2 linked regions of the Bombyx mori genome follow. Each later gene encodes a partner of the first gene's protein in a complex. Links are inferred from orthologs where the notes say so. Each region holds a gene or a part of one and is shown in the gene's direction. Other genes may lie near its edges.

The links.
Region 2: the proteins of WD repeat-containing protein 48 homolog (region 1) and WD repeat-containing protein 20 are in contact, whole or in part, in a crystal structure (PDB 5K1C), measured with the Homo sapiens proteins. The link is inferred for Bombyx mori from reciprocal best matches to the Homo sapiens genes WDR48 and WDR20. Residues at the interface, in NP_065890.1 of Homo sapiens: Val191, Lys207, Gly208, Gly240, Gln241, Gln242, Arg243, Cys244, Ile245; in NP_653175.2 of Homo sapiens: Arg20, Ser364, Thr384, Glu385, Asp386, Glu524, Pro525, Leu526.

What each region holds. Positions count from the first base shown.
Region 1 is NC_085134.1:8,702,038-8,704,957, reverse strand, and holds the end of WD repeat-containing protein 48 homolog, read left to right. Parts: intron 1-1,231; coding exon 1,232-1,417; intron 1,418-1,714; coding exon 1,715-1,810; 3' UTR 1,811-2,388; downstream 2,389-2,920. UniProt on the Homo sapiens protein: Regulator of deubiquitinating complexes, which acts as a strong activator of USP1, USP12 and USP46. Enhances the USP1-mediated deubiquitination of FANCD2; USP1 being almost inactive by itself.
Region 2 is NC_085131.1:12,892,638-12,897,204, forward strand, and holds the start of WD repeat-containing protein 20, read left to right. Parts: upstream 1-1,688; 5' UTR 1,689-1,944; coding exon 1,945-2,220; intron 2,221-2,676; coding exon 2,677-2,859; intron 2,860-4,567. Other genes in the region: HIV Tat-specific factor 1 homolog, read left to right, coding at 1-782. UniProt on the Homo sapiens protein: Regulator of deubiquitinating complexes. Activates deubiquitinating activity of complexes containing USP12. Anchors at the base of the ubiquitin-contacting loop of USP12 and remotely modulates the catalytic center of the enzyme.

The sequences.
Region 1 (2,920 bases):
ACACGATACTTGACGTTATTTTATTTTTTTAAATAAAAGATCACTTATTGTGGCATAACTATAATAGTTAGACATATGCTGTCGCGACATTTTTATGAATAATAATGTGTTCTACAAAGTCGTAGTACACTATTTTATTCTAACATGAATAGTTTTCGCAGAGCACGCGATGTAAAGAATATGTTAGGTAATTTTTTCACACCTTGTGTTATATTATTGGAGTTTTATAGTAAGGATCCCTAATTTTTTTCAAGAAAGATTATAAGCCTATGTCACTCGGGAAGAGTGTAGCTTCCAAACAGTGAAAGAATTTTTCAAATCGGTTCAGTACTTTCGGAGCCTATTCAATACAAACAAACAAACAAATCTTTCCTATTTATAATATTAGTATAGATCGATGCCTCCAATGAACACTACTCTCAACTCCAAATTCGTAAGTTTACAGGAGGAGCGTTTAAACGAAAAAAGCTGGTAAAATCTTTATTATTGCAGATATATTTTTGCCTTTTCTTGTGTAACTAGCTGATTTACTCTTGCTTCGAACCCCATTAATAATGAATATGTAATAATTTTAAAATAGTGATGAGATTTGCGTGAAAAACGAAAATTTCAAAATTTTGAGTTAGAGTAGGATCGAGATTGGTGGCATCGAGATATAGTTTGTTATAAAAAGGAAGTGGATTATATTTTTCACTATGCTTAATATATTTGCAGCACTTAGCAATAGCTTAAGCAATGTATGGATAACTCATGTAAATTAACATATTAATGCTATGCGCTGAGGTTCGGGATAAATAAAAAATCTACCGAAGTACAAGTTAACACTGTATTAGCACTTAGAACACATAGAACACTTCACAAACACTTTAAAATTCTCCATTCACTTCTTCCGCTTCGCTTCAGGTGATCCGTTCGCTGTTTCGCTTCGTGTAGTTCATATTACTAACTGCGTGCCATCTCTGCAACGCTTTTACAGTCGAGACGAAATCCCTAGAATCATTAAGAATATTCCACAAAAGTCGAGTACTGTGTGTTTCCGTTGTCTGACAATAGATGGCGCTGTACTTCTCGAGCGCTCTAGATACTATTACATCCTTCGATACTCGTTCGACTATTCGGCGATAGATGGCGTTACTCTTACCGGCGTAACAATAATATTCTGCACAGTATCTGGTCACATAAGATATATTATGAGAAATAATAACATAAATTTTCTTTACCGACTACCAAGCAGGATCGTCTGGTTGCCAATGATTTCATACAATGCCGCAAGATTGCCGAACATGTCGTGGAAAAAATAGTTGGCGGTGGGGATGTAAATGGGGCCAGTGCGGGAAGCGGAAAGGGGAGTGCTAATGAGGACAGCGGAAACGATGGCTCCCCTGAGGAAAAAGTTGAGCTGCTGTGTTGCGATCAGGTAAGTTGTTTCCAGAGGTATTTTTTGCCACGTACCATCCGGCTTTGGAATGAGCTCCCCTCCACGGTGTTTCCCGAGCGCTATGACATATCCTTCTTCAAAATAGGCTTGTGGAGAGTATTAAGCGGTAGGCAGCAGCTCGGCTCTGCCCCTGGCATTGCTGAAGTCCATGGGCTATGGTAACCACTCACAGGTGGGCCGTGCGCTCGTCTGCCTAAAAGGGCAATAAAAAAAATAAAAAAGAAAGTTGTTTGAAATTCATTCATTGAAATGACATTCTCGAATGATAATTTTCAGGTCCTGGACCCAAATATGGACCTAAGAACGGTCCGCCATTTCATTTGGAAGTCCAACGTCGAGTTCACGCTACACTATCGTATATTAAAACAATGAAATACGCATAACTTCAGCGAGTGCAGAACGCAACTAAAGAAGTGCCTAATGTTTCGTTGTGTGCTTGAATAATGCGCGAAACGAGGTCGCTTTGTGGTCACACTGAAACGTCAAATCTGTCATCTGTCAACGTCAACGCTAAAAATGTCAGTTGGCGAAACGTCAGATTTCGTTGTGGTAAGGATTTCTCCGGTGCTGCCAGACTTGGAGTTTTTTGTATAATCATTGGAAACGGAAATTTATAAAATATTTGATGCATTGCGAATATTCTTATTAGCTAATTTAAATGTTAAAATATAGCAATAGGATAATAAATCTTCATCAATGAAATAGAGAAAAAATAAAGACATTTACGAGACTTCATGACATGTTTTTCTTCGAACTAGGTATAAGAGGAATATTTCTGTTCTACCGTGAAATCATATTAAATCTGTCATTGGTCATCTGATTGAAACGAAGTCATAATTAGTGATTTTTAATTAGCCCGCAATATTGCCAACAACAATATAATGTATGATAATTGACAATCTACGTAGAATAATAATTGAAATAATTTAAATAAAGCATGTAAATGTTAATGTGTTGTTTTTCATTTTTAATAAACATTGAATAAGACTGGAATGGCTGTGGAATGAGCTCCCCTCTACGGTGTTTCCTGAGCGCTATGACATGTACTTCTTCAAACGAGGCTTATGGAGTACTTAACGGTAGGCAGCGGCTTGGCTCTGCGCCCGACTTTGCTGATGTCCATGGGTGACGGTAACCACTCACCATCAGGTGAGCTGTATGCTCGGGTGCCGCAGAGCAATGACGGGCTTACAGTTGAAGGATAGAATGGAAATATCAGTTCAATTGAAGCTCAGTAGTGACTCATGACTCAATGTGAATGACGGCAGTCCGTGTACATGACGAAATTCAGTTTTTTTTCTTTTCATAATATTTCTAATATGCGCCATCTTTTATTAATCACAAGGTATGAGTGAATGAGGAGAATTCGTGAAACTCATTGTGCTCTGTAAAATATAGATGGCACTGTTTACTATTTTTTCCACATTTTTCACTCGAGTTTGTCTAAGCGGCAGTGCTGCGTGTAGATCGTACACTATTCAC
Region 2 (4,567 bases), on another chromosome or scaffold:
TGAAAGTTAAATTATACATGGACAAAGAACAAAATTGTTTCAAGGGTGATGCATTATGTACTTATATAAAAATAGAATCCGTAGATTTAGCATTAAAATTGTTGGATGGCAGCGATTGTAAAGGCAATACCATTAAAGTGGAAAGAGCTCAATTTCAACTAAAAGGGGAATACAATCCTGCCCTCAAACCTAAGAAAAGAAGAAAAAAAGAGCTGGAAAAAATTAAAAAAATGAAAGAAAAACTATTTGATTGGAGGCCAGAGAAGTTTATTGGTGAACGTTCTAAACACGAAAGAGTAGTTATTGTTAAAAATTTATTCCACTCTAGTGATTTTGATAAAGAGGTTCAGCTTATTCTGGACTATCAGCAAGATTTGAGGGAAGAATGTGGAAAATGTGGAGACGTTCGGAAAGTAGTGCTCTATGATCGCCATCCTGAAGGAGTGGCACAGATAACTATGAAAGAGCCGGAACAAGCTGATGCTGTTGTTCAGCTGATCAACGGAAGATGGTTTGGCAAAAGACAAATCACTGCAGAGATATGGGATGGCAAAACTAAGTACAAAATTGCTGAAACTGATGCAGACATTAATCAGAGGTTAGATAAATGGGGTAAATTTTTGGAAGAAAAAGAAGATGATAATAAGGTAATTAAATTGCCTGTTGAAGAAAAAGACACAGATGAGCTTAAAGTTGAAGAGGTTTCTATTGAAAAAGAAAATACTCAATACCTATCCGAAAAAAGTGATATAAACAATGTAAAATTAGAAATAAATCAATGAATTTTCAAGAAGTAGTTTAGATTTCATTGTTCTTTTTTTATGATTAGCATAATTATGCAATTGGGCCCTCGGCCAATTTATTACTATCGGTAGGTGGTCGACCAACCTTGCTCTAACCTCAGCTTTACAATAATGACATGAAATGCCGTTCCCGCGCCGCCTGCATCCAACGCACGCAACCTATGGACTATGGTATTTTCCTCTGCTCTTCTACGAATCCTCTCATTCTTATTAGATTTTGCAGGGAAACTCCAACCATAGCTCGTCCCCTCCCCTTTGCTCTGAGAGTGATTTTGAGCCTTCTGGTAAGGCCCATAACTTAAAAACTTATGAATTGAGAGGGACTTCTATCGTGTTTTTTCATTCTCTACGTCATAAAATTTAAAAGTTAAATCAAGCGGTAAGTCCTAGCGCGTCTAATTAGGCGCGTTTTCATGGATAGTTTTCATAGGTAGTTGTCTAAAACAGTTTTCAGAGTTTGTATTAATGTTATTCAATCTATCGATCTAGCGATACAACGGTGTTCGAATCCCGCCGGCAGATACCAATTTTTCTAATGAAATACGTACTAATAAATATCAAACAAGCAAAATTATAATTTGCGTAATTACTGGTGGTAGGACCTCTTGTGAGTCCGCACGTGTAGGTATCACCACCCTGCCTATTTCTACCCTGAAGCAGTAATGCGTTTCGGTTTGAAGGGCGGGGCAGCCGTTGTGACAATTCTGCGACCTTAGAACTTATATCGCAAGGTGGTTGGCGTATTTACGTTGTAGATGTCTATGGGCTCCAGTAACCACTTAACACCAGGTGGGCTGTAAGCTCGTCTACCCGTTTAAGTAATAAAAAAAAAACACAGATAATACACATAACATTTAAGACGTTGTCACTTGTCATTTCGTCAAGTTGTCAAGCATCGACACCTGACTTGTGACTGCATACAACTTTTCACTTCAATCAACGCTTATAATTAAAAAACGGTAATCAAACAGACTTATCGTATGATAGGTGAATGAATTTAATACTCGAACACGTGTGAACAAGTGATGGCAATCGTGTGCGACCGGTGGGAATCCGGCTGGCAGACTGTTTAATCTATCAAACGCAATCGGAGCTTCTCTTGCAGCAGTCTCCATGAATAATAACAGGATAATATGTTAATATGGCTGTGCAATCGGACTCTGGAGGGAAGGACGAAGTAAAGACTCAGTTTGTGACACGCGAAGGGACTTACCGCTTGATGACTTTGTCGGAGTACTCAAGACCAAATCGCGTGGGTTATACCAGCGGGTCGGGGTCTTCGCACGTCCGCGTGTCTCTGGTGTCATTGCCGCCAAGTCCTGGAGTCGGAAACTCGGACTCTCAAAACTCGGACGACAGAATATGTTTCAATCATGGCAAAGAACTCTATGTTTACGTGTACAGAGGTGTCAAAAAGGTAATCATTGTTTATTTACCAAATTAAAGAGAAAAATATCATGTGCATAATCAACTGGACTAGAGGATACTAATTTTATTATTGTGTCTAACTACAAACAATATGATATGAATATAAGACTACTTGAAATAGTTAATATCGTATCATTCCTCCTTAGCAGAAATATCATCACTTATTTCTATACCTTATGAAAATACCTAGTTTGTAATGCCTTTATTTGTAACTACTAGTGGGTAGTCTTTTTCTGTGAGTCCATAAGAATGACTATAACACTAACTGCCTTCATACTGCATTAAATATTAGTATATTTTAAAACAAAGAGTAGCTGTTTTACCAATACAATTGATATTTCAATAATTTGTCTTGAAGTGGGCATTAGCATTTTTATTGTGGTGTCCAAGAGATTTCTAAAGGCCTACAGCAGTAAGATAACTAGTGATACTGTTATTTTTTCAGGCAGCTGATCTCACCAAACCTGTAGACAAGAAAATGTACAAAGGAACTAATCCTACATGTCATGATTTCAATACTGTCACAATGACGGCTGATAGTGTATCATTAGTTATAGGATTTTCTACTGGCCAAATACAACTAATAGACCCTATTAAAAAAGAATTAAGTAAATTATACAACGAAGAGGTGAGTAATACAATTTTTGTTCAAATAAACTCATAAAGTAATTAATATAGAAATGAAAGTTAAAAATAAAGAGATAGTGATTAGAACTGATATATGAGGCCTATAAAATCAAAGGCAGCTATATCCAAGTCTGTCAAATATTCAGGTAAACTACAAAAACCGTAGAACTGATATATGAGGCCTATAAAATCAAAGGCAGCTATATCCAAGTCTGTCAAATATTCAGGTAAACTACAAAAACCGGCCCTACATACGTCATTACGGACCCTCCTGATCCATCGAAGTACCGCTCTTGCTAGGGCCAGTGTTAGCAACACCCGGTTTGAGAATCTGAAATAACTTTGTTCGTATAGCTACGATATTCTTTATTTTAAAACAGATTTATAAAGAATGAGAATATTACTAATGATCTGAATTTTAAATGATAAAACTTCGTTTATTAGTACTTAATACAGAGTAAACTTAACTTTTTTGAACTGAATTTGTTAGAGATTTAGCTGCATTTGTTATAACATGAAAACACTAAAGCATGTTCAACTAACTAAACAAGATAGAGCCATTGTTAATACATTTTACGACATTATGGTGTTTAGCTGCCTTTGATTTTATAAGCCTCATATGACCTTACATGGGATTTTTCTGTTGTGTGATTAATCAGAAACTACCTAATTGACCTCAAGCTGAGTGAGCATGTGAAATCTGCTTTCTGCTTTCCTAAATCCTTTTTTCTATTAAATCCAACTTCTCTTTTTATTTCCTGTTTCGTAAATAGTCTTATGAGCTAACAAGAAAGTATATGACCCCATTACCTCAATAAGCACTTTATGTGTTCTGGTAATACAGCATACAATACAGCAACATAGCTATTGTTTTAATGCACAATATCTCAACTTTTTTGTCTAATTGTTTGATATTAGATGGACTGTAAATGTATTGAATAAAAAACAAAATTATTATAATTGAGCTCTTTTACTCTTACAAACGGGAAATATATTCTATTATATTTACTTATAATTTTTCTTGTGATGATAAAGTATAGTGATTCACTTTGATGATGATGAGAACTGTCTTGTTTACATTGGCCATCACACCACGATGCTGTCTTATGTATGCTATGAAGCACTCATGGGTTTGAGTGTGAAGAGTGGGAATGCCATTAAATAATATAATTAAGACTTAAAACTCATGTCTTAAAGCAACTGGTGCCTTACACATTGTGATGTTTTAATAAAAGAATAATATGAAAAAGCAAAAATCCTTTATATAGGACTATCAGGCCCACTTTGCTCACTGATCTTTGTTTTGAATTCGATTCAACTGCTATAAAATTCCACGGGATTATCCTAGACTAATCTGAAGTTTTCCTGAAAACTTTATTAAAATTGGTCCAGTCATTTAAGAGTATTTAAGAAAGATACATACACACTTAACATACAACACATAACGGCTGTCTGGTGTAGTGGTAAGTGACATGGTCACTACACAAGGGGGTCGCGGGTTCGAATCCCGCCAAGGGAAGATATTTGTATGATAAATATAAATGTCTTTTCCAGGGTTATGGATGTATATTAAATATGTGTATGTGTATAATAAAAATCTTACATTTATTTCCGTTATCTGGTACCTGTAACACAAGTTCTTTACGAACTTATCACGGGACCAGTTAACGTGGCGTGGCTGTTAGTAAATATTTATTTATTTATTTACT